2 linked regions of the Diceros bicornis minor genome follow. The main gene of each other region encodes a partner of the protein of the gene in region 2 in a complex. Links are inferred from orthologs where the notes say so. Each region holds a gene or a part of one and is shown on either strand. Other genes may lie near its edges. The genes, in order: RAB4A and RBSN.

Region 1 (7,400 bases), on a different chromosome or scaffold from region 2:
GTACAGATTTGTCTCAGATTTTTCCTCACTCTCAAACTGCCTCAGCTCTTAAAAAAATTTTTTTTTATTTCCAGCGTTTTCGACACCACTTATACTTTTTAGCTCCTTTCTGAACATCATTGCTGAGTACTACCTATTTGATTTGTCAGTTTTGTCTCACAAATTTTGGTATCAGAAATTAGGTAAGGCCAATTTGTGATCTCCCAAGTCTCAGATGGCTGGAGCTCCTGGGGAAGTCCCAAGCCACACTAACCAGCCAGGGCTTTAAGAATGTTGTGGATCTAATAATATTTGAGAAACGCTGTTTCAGTTTAGGGATATTCAGATTGACGGTTTCAATCTGAAACCTAAGTGTTTAAAATTTCAATTTTGTATTACAACATTATATAAAGCATAGTACTCACGTAGTTAGTGGTTTCAAAGCAGCAAAACGCTGAACATTACTCAGTCTATGGAAGGTGAAATATTGCTTTAATACGCTAAAAAGCAGGTAGATACAGCTCATTAACAGTATGTTGTAAGCATTGGCTCTTTATTTTTCATCATATCCCTGTCAAGCCACAGAGCCTCCTTTTCCAGAAAAGAGAACAGGAGCAGAGGGTACAAAGGTGTTTAAAGGTTAGGCAAACATTCCTTTACCAGCTATCTAAGAGGCAAACGTCTGAAAGGAGGGAACCTGATTGTTTTACTTTTGGGGAACAATGCTGCACAAATATGGGCAATGAGAAGTGAAGGTGACAGCTTAGGACTTGGTTTGGGCGACTTTTATTTTAGGTTGGCACTTGCAACTGCCACACTGGCTCTTTCTAAAACTAATTTTCTATTAGTTTCCTTTAATTTCCTCTATTAGAGGAAAAGATGAAATTCAGTTAGTAAAAAGTAAAAACAAATTTGGAAGATACCATGAAATAACAGTATTAATGGTCAAGGCCTTACGATCAGCATTTAGTCAGTTCATGCTCACAAGTTCACTTAACTCTGTCTGAAGTGGAGAAGCCAAAGGTATGCTACGTTTTATCAAGTTATCATCTCATATAAGACAGATGAAACAGAAAAGCTCTAGCTCCTGAACTCTTCCAGTCCTTTCTACTAATTCATAACCCCCACCTGGGTCTCTTATTTGGACTTTCCACTCCTCCCTAGTGCTCCTTTAAAGTGTGGGGTAAGAAGCACTTGAAAGAAAAGCAAAAGTATAACCAAAAATTGCTAGAGAAACTCATTTTCTCTATGAAATCTGACTGCAGCTCTCCATAGAGAGAACCAGACCATGTGGATGTACTGCATTTGCAGCTCTGACAACAGTGGTCCCCACGAAGCTAGCAACTTCCTGGAGGATTTCCTAAGCCTTCTAGGAACAGATGTCCTGTCCCCAGTGTCACCAAGAACAGGGCATGTACTAGTCACAGGAGTGGCTGAAGGTGGAGCAAATGCACTACGACCCCACCCCTTTTAGGAGAGAGGCCCTCTCTGCCTCACCCTCACCCCTCCCCAGGCCTGTGGGGCCTAAACCACACCCCCTTATTGGAACTGCATGTCCCTCAGGGCCTGGGCACATGCTGTTCTGGCATGTGTGGCTGCCCTGGCCCCCAGTCTGGCGGGGTTTCTTTCTTACCTACTTTCTATAGACCACATTCCTGCAGAACTCCTGCCTGGGTTTCAACCATTCATTAGTGTCACACCTGGATTAACACTGGAATCGCCACTAGACTGTAAACTCCATGAGACCAGAGCCGGCCTGCTGTGTTCCTCGCAGTACTGACAGCGCCTCCTAGCAACAACCGGCTCCATGCTGCCATTCCACACATATTTGTTGAAGCAAAGGAGCAGCATACCAGGACAAACCCAGACAAGACTGATTCAACTGGAGGTACATACTTTTGAACTTGAGCTTCTGTAAACTTCCAAATCAAAGTCTTAATCTGAGAATGCACACATCTGAAAGAGCGATCAGAGATGGTAAACATCTCCTCGACCCTGACACAAAGCAGAGGTATGCTATACTGTTTATTTTACCACACACGACTAAAACAAAAACAAAAAGACACAATATATGAGTTGGGAAGGTTTTCGTTTATTCAAAAAAATATTTGTTGAGCACCTCCAGGTGTGGGTGCTATAGAGGAAGCAAAGATTAGGAGACAGGGCTCTGCTTCCAAGGTGTTGATGGTCTTAAAATGACACATTTATAAATAGCCATAATGCAACCTAGAAAGGGCTAAAAACACCTGAGAGAGAGAGAAGTAAATAAGGCAAAAGGTCGCCGGAGAAAGAATTGATTAGTCTATCGACAATTCCTCACTGTAATCCCTTTGCAAAGAAAGGAATTCCACACCAGGAAAGGTCAACCTGGAACATCTGAGGAACACACTGAAACACAGGCGTCGCCCCAAGTCCTTCACATCCCTCGCTGGGGACAATATCACAGATGAAACCGAGTCTCAAACTGGCTTTCCAAACCCTGAGATCTTGAAATGAGACTAAGAAAGAAAAACCCTTCCGGGCGTAAACGCGGAGAAAAACCCAGAGGAAACTTGAAAAAGCAGATCCCGTCAACAGACTGCACACAGCCTGGCCCGCGCTCGGGCACTCGGATCCGCAGCCCGCGCCCCCCGCCCTCCTCGGCCTGCGCCCCCCACACTCCGGGACCCCGCAGCCCAGGCCAGGCCCCCGCGCCCCTGAGACCCTCGGCCCGCCTCCGCCCGCTTCCCCCTGCCAGCCTCATACCGTAGGTCTCGGACATGGCCGTCTGCGACATCTTGGGAGCGGCACCGCCTCTTGCCAGGTCACCGCTGCAGCTCTGGCCAGGCCAGCAGGAGGGCAGGGCCGGGGTCGTCTGCCGCGTCTCGGTGGGGCACGGCGTGGGGCGGGGGACCTGAGGAGGGAGGGGCCGCGGTCCCCACGGCAGCCGCCGGCCACCCCGCGGCTGCTGCCCTGCCGGACTGCCGGCTCTGCGCAGGCGCACGGCCCCCCGCCCCCTGCCGGGCCGGGCCGAGGACCAGGAGGAGGAGGAGAAGAAGGAGGAGGAGAGAGGGGAGCTGGAGGCCGGTTCCCGCCCGTGGGCGCGCGTGCGCACGCAGCCCGCGGAGGGGCGCGGGGAGGCCGGCGCGCATGGAGGGGCGCGGGGAGGCCGGCGCGCATGGAGGGGCGCGGGGAGGCCGGGCGGGCCGAGGGGCGGGGCTGGCTTAGCCGGGGTTGCGGAGGTGGGGAGGAGCCGACGGTCGGCAGGCTTGTGGGTGACGGAGGGCTGCGGACAGTGGGCTCCAGCTCTTGGGCAGAGGAGGCGAAGTGCCAGCCCTGGGGAGGAAGAATGTCCTTTGGCCAAACTAGCCCGCCTCAGTAAAGACTTTGTCGTCGTCATTTGCAGCTCTCAGCCGGGAAAAGACTTCGTTCAAGCTGTTATGCTCAACCCGGGAAGGTGGTTACTGTGTAGCTAGGAGGCAGTGGCTCCAGGTGTCCAGCTAGAGGCCAGCCCTGTGGGCGGGGAGGCAGGCTTACTTGCCGGGAGACTGAGATTTCTCTCTGAACCTGCCAGGCCCTCTCGGGTGGGGCTGAGCTGGTGTCTGGGGGAAACCGACGGAAGCTTAAGATGTACCACTGCTGAAGAGTGCCGGGAAGACTGTAGACATTGGCCCCTCTGCATCCCAGTTTAGGGGAATGTGGCTTATGGGCAGGAAGCATCTCCTGACCCTCAGCTGGAGATGCATTTCTAAGGTTAGGAGTCGTTGGTGAGTATTTTGATTTAAGGAGCAAAACTGAATTCAGGATCCCCTTCTGTTGGAAACGTCGACATAAACGTTTATTGGGAAGAGAATCTTGGTTGGGAGTTTGCTGCATCTGAGCGTGATCAGGGCCACATGGTATCTCATAAGATCCAACGTTGTTCAAAAGACATAGTAGAATACTAAAAATATACCTTGGCTAAGCTCCCAAGTAATTTGGACGGTGGGGAAAATGCCAGTAAATATATATTTTTTCAAGTCCATTTGGCTCCATCCTCCACCTAAATTGGCATCAGACCTTCCCTGAGGCCTTTTCCCCTCTTCCCCAAGGGCTATTTGGCTCTACATTTTACTCTTCTCTCTGAACCTAATAGCAAATAAATATCCTTGCTTCTAAATCACAGAGAGGACCTCATGCTGAAATATTGTGAGAACTGTCATTTCCTAGAATTATTTTGTATACTTGTTCACTGGCTCAGATACTTTGTTGCTTTCTTGTGTGGCTTTCTGCATATTAGGTTTGATTTACACTCCTGAGTATAGCAGACTTATCCTGATTAAAACTATTTCAGAGGAAAGACAGTGATCCCATTCTTTAGATCAAAGTTTTCTTCCTGCCAGAAACTTCTGTGGATAAGAAAGGAATCACTGGGTTACAGTGATCGCTTGGGTTATTGACTGAAACTGGACCTTGAGGGTCTCTGAAACCTGGAGAGAGTAATAGAAATAAAAATGAAGCTGCTATTTCAAAGCTGAGAGCAGTTTTCTATTCTGTAGAAAACAAAGACTTACCTAGGCATTTGAGAAAGACTGTTTTGTTAAAACCACCCAAAGAAATCATTTAGTTTGCAAATATAAAGCCAAATATCACAACTGGAAAAGGAAATAAATACTCAAGAGCTGAGGTTTGAAGGAGCCAAACCTCCTTGAATAATAATGTGAAAGGTTCTTTGCATCTCGGTAACTTTGGATCTTTGAGAGAAAATAATTTTCTTCTAAATATTCTTGGAGACTGCTTTGGTTCTGAAGTACAGTTAATTGTGTGCAAGGGACACTTATTGCCAAAATTAATGTATGTTTTCTCTGGTTATTGTCTCCTTTCCCTTCAGGGGAAGTTTGTGATAGAGTAAAAAGCATGTTTCCAAAAGCCTAGGCACATTGGAGATTAGTCTAAGGGAGATGGAGAGAGAAGGATTTCTTCCAAAATAGATCCCACCCACTCCTCCTCAGGTCAGTGGGTCCTGCAAATAGCTGGTACTTTCCTTCTTGCTCCTTGGCAATGCCTCACATTTAATGACCAATTAGGAGCCTCAGGGGGCTGCCAGTTTCACAAGGATTCCTGTTCCCCAGGACTGACAGAGGACCACATGGATGGGGACAGTGGTTTCTCTGCAGGGACCAGTGGGGACAGATGGACAATGACTGAAAGGTCCTTCTGGACTTCTAGGCACAGGGTTGGACCTGTAACAGTGGCCTGGTTCTCTGGAGGGGAGCCTTCAAAAGGCCTAGGGATGAGAATCCAGCATGACCCTGACATTCCAGGGAGCAGTGGCATTGGGAGCAAAGGGACGTGGCATCCTTGCCAAGTTAGGCTTGGTAGAGGGCACTGGTCACAGCCTCTACAACATGATGACTTTCTTTGGTAACTGGAGTTGAAGAACATAAGCCAACTTGTGTCTGAGCACTTGAGGACTCAGAAATATCTGGGTGTTACTTTGAGAAGGAGCCAAGTTCTGCTTAGGCAGGTGGAGACTGGCAAAGATGACCTCAGTTAAACACCCAGGCTGGTGATGGCTGTGACATATAACTCTTATGTTCAAGTTGGAAGAGACCTCAGAGGCCACTGGACCAGTTTGCCTTCCAGTGCCAAACAACACTGCCTCTGTGATTGGACACCTTTGTTGTTAGGGAATATTCAGTCAGGATGGGCTAAATTAGCTGTAGTAACAAAGACCTCCCAAGACACTTATGACTAACACAAAAAGTTCACTTCTCACTCAGACTACCGGCCCCACCCATTCTGGCCGAGAGGCTCGGCTCCATGTGGGCATTTGTAGACCCAGCCTGACCGAAGTCACATCTAAACACTTGCTCCCACCATCATTCAGGTGGGAGAAGGAAACAGCACCAGATGTGCATTAGCTCACGAAGATCCCATCAGGAATTGATAAAATCACTTCCATTTACATTTTATGGGCCAAAGCAAGTGACGTGGCCACACCTAATTTCAAAGAGAACAGGGAGTGCAATATTGTTATGTTCCAGAAGGAAAGAAGAGAGTGTATGTGGAAATACATTATGACTAACACAGGAGCCTTTTACCTGTCCAGGAAGCTCATTCGGCTTCTGTTTTAGACAACTTTATTGAAGTGTAACTGATAGAGCTTTACGTGTTTAAAGTATACATTTTGATAATTTTTTAAATATGTGTACACCTGTGTTTGCTGCTACTGGGATGTTACTGCTTCTAGGCCTTTTCAGTGGGCAGAGACATTTTTTATGATTCTGTTTTATCTCTTTTGTTTATTAGGAATAACTTCTGAGGTTATTTTCATGTTATTTTTTAGGGTTTGTAGTATAGGTCTTTAACTTCTCACAGTCCATCTTCAAGTAAAATGCATTTCATGTAGAGTATAGGAAGTCCACAACAGTTTTCCTCCATCCCCCTCCACCAACTGTACTGTGGATGTCCTGTTTCTTACATTTGTTATACACTCCACATACATTGCTATTATTTTTGCTTTAAGCAGCCAATTTTCTCTCTTTTTAAAATTGTGGTAAGATACACATAACATAAAATTTACCATCTCACCCATCTTTAAGAGTACAGTTCAGTGGTATTAAATACATTCATAATGTGCAACCGTCACCACCATCTAGTCACAGAACTCTTCATCTTGCAAAACTGAAACTCTGCACCTGTTAAACATTCACTCCCCATTCCCCCTTCCCCCAGCCCCTGGCAACCGCTGTTCTACTTTCTGTCTCTATGAATTCGACTACTCCAGGTACCTCATGTAAGTGGAACCATTCAGTATTTGTCGTTTTGTGATGGGCTTATTTCACTTAGTATCGTCCTCAAGGTTCATCCATGTTGTAACGTGTCAGAATTTCCTTCCTTTTTAAGGCTGAAAAATATTCCACTGTGTGTATTTACCACATTTTGCAGCAAATTCTCTTTTAAATAGATTTAAACAATAAGAACAAGTATTTTCTATTTACCTACATAGTTATCATATCCAGGACTCCTCAGGCCCTTGTGTAGATTCAGATTTCCATGAGGTGTTGTTTCCTTTTTGCCTGAAGGACTTCCCGTAGCAGAGCTTGAAGCTCAGGTCTGTGGCTGATGAATTGTTTCAGCTTTTGTATATCTAAAGAAGTCTTTATTTCACTTCTGTTTTTGAATGATATTTTTGGTGAGTGTAGATTTCTAAGTTGACAGTTTTTTTTTCTAGTACAGTGTTTTCTGGCTTATATTGTTTCTGATAAGTCTACTGCCCTTCTTATCTTTATCTTTTTGTATGCATGCTGTCTTTTATCTCCATCTGCTTTTAAGATTTTATCTTCATCACTGGTGTAAGCAGTTTGATTATGCTGTGCTGTGACTCGTGTGGTTTGCTTCATGGCTCCTGTCCTTGAATTTCATTAAAACTCTTTGGTCTGTAAGTTTGTAATTTTTAT
Region 2 (8,342 bases):
TTACTTATTAGTGTTATCATGTTCTGTGGCAACATGGAAACTGATGAAAACTATCCCATGAGTTAAAGCTCCCATTGACAGAATGGGATAAGCAAAAAATCCTCGCCTCTTACTTTTAATTTGCCCTTTGACATCACGGTCTTCCCCGGAGTGCTCTTCCTCATAATGTGACTGAAGCTGATAGAAAGACTGCAGGTCCTTTAGGCACAAAGGGCAGAGGAAGCCCTCCCTCACTTCCCCTGGGTCATCCAGAGAAGCCATGGCAGTGTCCCTCTCAACCCCTGTAAGGCAGGGGCCTCATGCCAAGAGTCAGCTTGATTCCTCCACAAGGGACCAGGGCTCCTGCAGCATTAGCTTAACCAAGCAGCACACAGATAATGGGGAAGTGGCATCATGGCCCTGGATGAGGTTTCCTCTCTGGAGTAGAAGTCCTGAGAAAGGAAAGAAGAAGGGAAGAAAAAGCCAATTCAGGCAAATTAGCAGCAGTTGAGAATTTCCTTTGTTCTTTTCACATTTCAACAAGGGTACTTAATTGTTCAGTGCAAGTTAAGAACACAAACTGCTTTCTCAAATCCTTAGACCAAAACACAAAACCTTCTAAGATATGAGAACATCACTGGACAATGGCAACTCAATGAAGTGGGAAGCACAGATTCTTGAAGACAAGAAAAGAAAATTCAACTTCAACAGCAAACACAACACCAAGGCAATTCTCTAACATTCATTCCAAATGGTCCAACTTCATAATTTGTATGCCACTTTAGCCACTGGGGCAATGTCTGAAGTACTTATCAACAAGCAGAAGTTTTTATTTGACCCTCTTTACCTTGATCATTTATTCAACCACATATATTGAGCTCTCGCAGATGTGTCAAAAATGCACCAACGAAAAAGAGATAGAGTCTGCCCTAAAAAACAAACAAAACCAAAAAAACAAAAATCCCAACCTCAGTCTAAGGAGGAGCATTAGAAACCTAGTGGTCAAAAAGAAAAATCAGGGGGCCAGCCCAGTGGCATAGTGGTTAAGTTCAGCACGCTCGGCTTTGGCGGCCCTGGGTTCACAAGTTCGGATCCCTGGCACAGACCTACACCACTCATCACCATGCTGGGGCAGAGACCCACAGACAAAATAGAGGAAGACTGGCACAGACGCTGGTTAGCTCAGAGCCAATCTTCCTCAAGCAAAAAGAGGAAGACTGGCAACAGATGTTAGTTCAGGGCCAATCTTCCTCACAAAAAAAAAAAAAAGAAGAAGGAGAAGAAAAATCGAGGGCTGGCCCCATGGCCTAGTGGTTAAGTTCGGTGTGCTCCACTTCGGCGGCCTGGGTTCAGTTCCCAGGCGCGGACCTACACCACTCGTTGGTGGCCATGCTGTGGTGGCAACCCACATACAAAATAGAGGAAGACTGGCAACAGATGTTAGCTCAGAGTGAATCTTCCTCAAGCAAAAAGAGGAAGATTGGTGAGACATGTTAACTCAAGGTGAATCTTCCTCAGCCAAAAAAAAAAAAAAAAGGCACGGGGTCAGTATTTTGTGTCTTGTTTGCAGAGCACTCTCTCTCCAATGAACTTACTAGATTGTATAAGTGACAGTTTAAATAAGCGACAGTTGAGTAGCAAGCCTAATGTTCTCACTGCTTCAAAAATAAGAGGATTTGGTGCTTAAACAATTCAAGGCTTAATGAGTTACACTGTCAGTTTTAATAGGCCATGGCAAAGTCACTTCCAATGTCATCTCAGAAAGACTCCCAGAAAACCATTCCACAAAAGCAGAGAAATTTCTCCCCAAGAACCGAGGCCACAAACCACAGTAGAGAGTGAAGAGGAAATGTATGACCTCAGCTTCGAATGGACCTGCCTGGAGGGCCACTGAGGAGGGACTGCCTGGTCCTCAAAGCTGAGGGATGGCAGTGACCCAGAAAACGCACAAATGAAACACCAGGTCCCTGTTCTTTTTCTTAGCTAAGAAACTCAAGGGCTATATACATGCAGATCTCAGCCCCTCTTCCAGATCACTGAAACAGCAGCTCCAGTTCCCTCCCCAGCCAGGGGTTCATCTGATGCCCTGACTCTGACAGCCCCCTTCCTTCCCACGCACTGGCCCGTAACAACCACAAATCAAACACACACACACCCTTCGCGTCTCAACCGAACCTCACTGCCTCAAGGAAATGCCTCTTAGGAGAGGCATTCTCCCGTGGGACACACCTTGCTCTTCTCCGTCACAACACTTATCTCAATTTATAACCACAAGTACACGAAGTGACTAAATACATCAGACTGTAAGCTCTGTGAGGGCAGAGACCATGTCTGTTTTCACCAGCACCACCTCTCCAGAGTCTAGCACAGCGCCTGGCACAGACCACGAAGAAACAAAATAAAGCTCCATGAATGAAAGAATGCACGAACTCTAAAATCATATAACCAAATACACACCACAAACCAAAGAAATCTACCACAAACCAACCAGCCAGACCCCACAACCATAGCATATGCAAGCCCCTCACACCCTAAACAACGTAAATAAATAAATAAATAAAATCTACATATCCTGCAAGTATACGTCCAGCACGAGCGCTCCCCGGCCACATGCCGCAAAGACTGCGTATCCCACAGCCCACTCATCCCCGCCTCACCACCGCACACAACCACCCTCCACAGAACTCAACACGATTGTGCACACGTCGCATAACCACACAACATGAAAGACCCACAGAGCAGACATGACAACTCCACACACTGCACAGGTGACACGCAAAACACTACAAACAACTCCACACAAACTCAGAACCCAAATGCCTCAACCTCACACAACCAGAGACCCAAACAACACTCGGGAGACAACCGCCTCCCTCCTCAGCCTCATAACCCAACACAACTGTACACGCCCCGCATAACCACACAACCAAATAGAGCCCAATCATCGCAAGCACACACAGGCGAAACGCACAGCCCGAAAGCCACATCTCCCACCACGCACGTCACACCCACCACAACCTCACACATCCCACCCCCGCGCGGCCCGCCCGTCTCCGTTCGGCGCTCCTGCCCCTCAGGCCCAGCCCAGCCCTCTGTACCCGGTAGGGCTTCCGCGGGCACGCAGGCCTGTCCAGCCCTCCGGCCCGGGCTCTAGGCCTCCACGGTCCCTCACACAGCCGCCGCCGCCATCTCCATGGCTGCTCGGCGCTCGGCAGGCGCGCCTGCGGCGGCGCCGAAACCGGAAAGCAGGCTGACAGACGCCCGTCGAGCGCCGAGTCTTCGAGGGCGAGAAAGGGGCGGGGACGGATGCAAACGGCGCAGGGCGGCCGGCGGCTTCTACGCAGGCGCTGTAAGAAGCGCGGGGGCGGGGGGAGCGCGGGGGGGCCGCTGGTTAATTTGCGGGCGTGTTGACGTCCTAGGTACTTACAGGCAACACGTTAAAGCCAGCCTCTTGCTCTCCGCCGCGTTGTACGGATGCGATGACTGAAGCCTGCGGTTCTTTAGCTCTTGACCGAGGTGAGCAGTGAATGAGGCGGCGGAGGAGTCTTTATCGCCCCCTACCCCACCCCCAACTGCAGTTCTGCATTAATTCGGGTCAATTAAAGCTCCTGAGAGCTAGAGATTAAAGTAATATTCAGGAGACTTGGAGAATGTAAAAAGATCCACGTGAGAGTGGGGACTTGGAATGAGAGGGAGCATCCATGCAGAGGGTGTACAGCGTGGTCAAATCTGTAGCATTAAAAATAAAACTACCATATGATCCAGCAATTCCACTTTTGGGTATTTAAATGAAGAAAAAAACACTAACTCAAAAAGATATTTGTACCCCCATGTTCTCTGCAGTGTTATTTACAGTAGCCAAGATAGGGAAACAACCTAAGTGTCCATTGATGAATGAATGGATAAAGAAATAATGTTCACACACACACACACACACACACACACACACACACACACACACATAATTTAGCCACAAAAAAGGACATCTTGCGGGGCCGGCCCGGTGGCGCAAGCGGTTGGGTGCGCGCGCTCCGCTGCGGCGGCCCGGGGTTCGCTGGTTCGGATCCCGGGCGTGCACCAACGCACTGCTTGGCAAGCCATGCTGTGGCGGCGTCCCATATAAAGTGGAGGAAGATGGGCACAGATGTTAGCCCAGGGCCGTCTTCCTCAGCAAAAAAAGAGGAGGATTGGCGGATGTTAGCACAGGGCTGATCTCCTCACAAAAAAAAAAAAAAAAAAAAGGACATCTTGCATTTGCAGCAACATGGATGGACCTTGAGGGCCTTATGCTAAGTGATATGTCAGACAGGGAAAGACAGATGTCGTATAATCTCACTTATATGTGGAATCTAAAACACACACACACAGAAAACCAAACTCATAGATATAGAGAACAGATTGGTGGTTGCTGGAGGCGAGTGGTGGGAAGTGGCTGAAATGGGTGAAGGGGGTCAACAGGCCCAAACTTCTAGTTATAAAATAAATGTCACGGGGATGTAATGTACAGCATGGTGACTATAGTTAATAATACCGTATTGCACACTTGAAAGTTGCTGACAGAGTAGATCTTAAAATTTCTCTTAAAAAGAAAAAAAATTTGTAATTTGTATGATGACGTTAACTAGACTTATTGTGGTGATCATTTTGTAATATATACAAATATCAAATCATTATTTTGTATATCTGAAACTAATATAATGTTATATGTACATTATGCCTCAAAAAAAAAAAAAAAAAGACAGAGTGATCAGTCAGCACCTACTCCATGCCCTGCGCTGTGCTGAGTACCACAGGGTGTATAGAGACAAAACCTCATCCCAGTTCTGGGGAGCTGTTTGCTTTGTGCCCTGCACAAGTGCTGGCCTTCAGCAATGGCCTGGGCTCCAGAAAAAGAGCTGCAGAGCATGATGGGAAGATCCTGAGCTTTGGGGTCAGAAAGCAGCCTTGGTTCATGTTCCAGCAGTGTTGCTTGACCCTTTCGACTCCTGGTATCACCATTTGTAAAATGGGGATGAAAATAATAGTCTCCATCTCATAGGGTTGTAAGGACTGAGTGAGGTGATAGTGAGGAGGCATCCCTAACACTGGCTCCGCCTGTGGACAGGAGCACTGATTCCGCACCTAGTGCTGGGCCTCCATCACCTTCCGTTTAAGACCTGGGGCTCCCAGTGTGGAGAGCATTGAGTTTTTGGAAGGCAATCGCCAGTGAAAGGGCGGTGAGCTAAGGGTCAAGAGACCTGGGTTCTAGCTCTGCCTGCACCTTACTTTGTGACTTTGAACAGATCCCTTCCCCTCTCTTGGCCTCAGTTTTCCCATCTGTACAGGTAAAATAGCTTCCAAAGATTTGCAAGCTCTTTTATTTTTTCAACTTGGTCACCCCCCCTTTTTTTTTTAAACTTGACAGGGTTGGCGGGAGTGGACAGTGACTCCTCTTTGTGTGCTGGCACAGACAAGGAAGAGACTTGCCAACCTGTCAGAAGCAAAGCAACAGACCCAATTCTGTCTCTCTGTCCCCGGCCTCTGCCTTGGCTTGCGGTAGCCAGGACTTGGAGAGTGAAAACACCTTATTGAATGTCTGGGGCCATAAGTCCCAGAACCGGCCGTGCTTACAGGCAGGACTATGTTTGGGGTCAGGCGATGAGCCTTTTATTAAACCATCATGATTTTGCCTGTCATTTACAAAAGCCAGTGTCACATTCACCATTTCATTTGCTCAAAAAAGCAGTGGCAATGTGGGCTGCAGCTTGTGAATTAATTCTGAAAATCATGATGGATCAGCCACTGCTGTTCTATTGATATTTTTAAGGGATGATGGTGGCAAAGACCTTCCTGTATGCTTTACAGTTTATCAAAAGCACTTATATTGCTTAAATCCTTTGGGAAACTCTATTACTATTTGCATTTTAATAATAATAATAATGATTAATATTAACTGAGTGATTCACATGTGCCAGTCACTGTTCTATGTGCTTTACATGTCTTAGCTTATTTAATTCTCGTACAACCCTATGTGGTACAAACTAATATCATTCCCATTTTATAAGTGAGGAATCTGAGGCACAGAGAGGTTAGGTGACTTGCCCAAGGTCACACAGCTGGTAAGTGCTGAACCCAGAGTCATCTTGCCTTGAGACTTTCACCACTCCCAATTTTCCTTCCTCTGTGAAGGTCTGATCTCTGAGCCTTCCTGCATCTCTCAGCATTTTCCAGGCACCAACTGTGTACCAGGCATAGAGATAGAGGGTGTAAGGAGAATAAAGCAGGATGGTCTCAGTCTTGGAGGAGGGCTCAGCTGGCAGGGGACACAGATGCTTATAAGCCAAATAGTTAAAAAAGAGAGAAGTGTGCACATATGTGCAGAAGCTCTGGCATCAAAGGGGAGGCAGAATCACCTGTGGGAATTCAGGGACGGTTTCCCAGAGGTGGCAACACATGAGCAGAGCCCTCAGGTAGAAATGATCAGGAAGAGCCTTCCAGGCCGGGGGAACAGCATATGCAAAGACATGGTCATGCAGAAGAACATGCATCCTTTGAGAAACTTAGAAAAGTTCATTCATACTGCTCCTTGTTCCCAACACTGTAGGGAGCTGCTTCTAATGGTAGAACCTCAGAGAACTGGCTCTCTTCCCCTTTTGCCTTCCCCGTTAGAGTTCTCTCTCTCTCCCTGTCTTTCTATCCCTCTCTCTTTGTCTCTTTCTTTCTGGCCCCTTATTGTCTAAGTTCATCCCAAGCACCACGAGATGTCTTGGCATCACATTAAAATCCCTGAGCAGGAAACGGAAATCACGATGTGGGTAAGCCTACGTCAGGGGAAGGTGTGCAGCACATCATGTAACTGCCCAAAGATCCAGCTTCCCTCCAGGCTGGCCCAGGCCCCCGTTTGCCAGACCTCTGCCAACTGCCGCCTGTGGTCGTGAGCAGACGGGTTGAGGGGGTAGAGGCTGGCACACCCCATCTACTGGCACAGGGAAATGAGAGTAATGATGGAGGGACTGGCAGGGTGGCAGGAGAGCAGGGCCTGGTCTGGAGAGTTGGCAGAGGGTGTACCAGACTGGGCAGTGTCCTGGGGAAGCAGGTGGCAGCTGCTCAGGGTCAGGAAGGAAGAAAGCAGAGAACAGAGGAAAGAAGAGAGGGAAAGAGGAGAGGAAGGGGAAGAAAGAGAGGGAAGCACGTAGGAAAAGAGGGAGAAAAGAATGATAAGAAAAAAGTTATGAGGTAGCAAAACATCATGATTATAAGCACAAACTTCAGAGCCAGTCAACCCGGGTTTGAGTCCTAGCCCTGTAGCTGTGTGATCCCAGGCAAGTCACTTAAGTTTCCTCATCTGTAAAATGGGATAATAATAGTACCTACCTCCTAGGTTGGAGGATTAAATAGGTTAATATTTAGAAAGTGCTGGAACAGTGCCTGGCACATAGGAAGGACTATGTAAATGTTTGTTAAATAAAGAAAAAGGAAGGGAGGTGTCATTCAAATGCCTTGGCAGTTGTGTCAGTCTCATAGGAGGTATGAGGAGCCCACTTGGTGTCATGGAAATATCTCTGAGAGTCATGGCCCTGCTGGGTGGGAACTCAGAATAGAATCAAATAGTAAGTACATTCACTGCATCCAAGGGGGGCTGGAGGGGGCAGGGAGTGGCAGCCTCAACAGACCTGAAAAGTAGAAAATATGGAATTGACTTGGGGGGATGTGAGCTCCAAGGCGACCCGATTTGCAGGTTGTGGGCTGGCATCTCTTTTGACAAAACAGGGCCACTACCAGCCCATAGGGGCCTTTGTGAATGGGAAAGAGGCCCCCCACCCTCCAATGGATGCAGCCCTGTGCCAGGACTCAAGCTCTGCACTTGGCAAGTGGGGCACAGACTGGATTTCTGCTCCCATCAACCCCTCGGCTGTGCTATACACAACCCACACGATGGTCCCAGGGCCAGGGATGAGGATGAAGGCTCAGCCTGGTCCTCAGGTCGTGAGAAAAATCACACTGGTGTTCTGCAGTTTCACTTCTCATTGCTTTGACTGAAATCTCTGGAGATATGCACGCTCAGCCAGTTGAGAATTTAACCCCAATTCCAACCCAGATTCAAAATAATCCATGTAAATGTGATGTTTTAACTATTTGAGGCATTTAAGAATGTTTGGAGTGTAAAGCATCCAACACATTAGACTTAGGACTCCAGTTTAAAATGTGTAACTCAGCAATCGACTTAGGGTCACGATTTTAAGTTCATTCAACAAACTATGTATTGAGCATCTGCCTACCTGGGTCCCTGAGATAAACCAAACAGACAGCAGTTCTTGCCCTCAAGGAGCTGATATTCTGGTGGAGAGACACAGACACTAAACAATGTATATACTAAATAAGTA

Evidence for each region.
Region 1: the proteins of RBSN (region 2) and RAB4A are in contact, whole or in part, in a crystal structure (PDB 1Z0K), measured with the Homo sapiens proteins. The link is inferred for Diceros bicornis minor from reciprocal best matches to the Homo sapiens genes RBSN and RAB4A. Residues at the interface, in NP_001289307.1 of Homo sapiens: Glu441, Gly442, Trp443, Leu444, Pro445, Ser447, Glu454, Pro458, Leu459, Gln461, Gln462, Asn465, Ile466, Phe469, Asp480, Glu481, Thr484, Leu485, Asn488, Leu492, Glu495, Gln499; in NP_004569.2 of Homo sapiens: Tyr10, Leu30, His31, Ile34, Glu35, Ile46, Gly47, Val48, Glu49, Phe50, Gly51, Ser52, Lys53, Lys63, Gln65, Trp67, Arg74, Phe75, Ser77, Val78, Ser81, Tyr82.

Annotation. Positions count from the first base shown.
Region 1 is NC_080745.1:26,215,820-26,223,219, reverse strand, and holds the start of RAB4A (ras-related protein Rab-4A), read right to left. Parts: upstream 3,118-7,400; 5' UTR 2,756-3,117; coding exon 2,725-2,755; intron 1-2,724. UniProt on the Homo sapiens protein: The small GTPases Rab are key regulators of intracellular membrane trafficking, from the formation of transport vesicles to their fusion with membranes.
Region 2 is NC_080741.1:87,281,854-87,290,195, forward strand, and holds the start of RBSN (rabenosyn-5), read right to left. Parts: upstream 3,198-8,342; 5' UTR 3,078-3,197; intron 432-3,077; 5' UTR 262-431; coding exon 114-261; intron 1-113. UniProt on the Homo sapiens protein: Rab4/Rab5 effector protein acting in early endocytic membrane fusion and membrane trafficking of recycling endosomes. Required for endosome fusion either homotypically or with clathrin coated vesicles.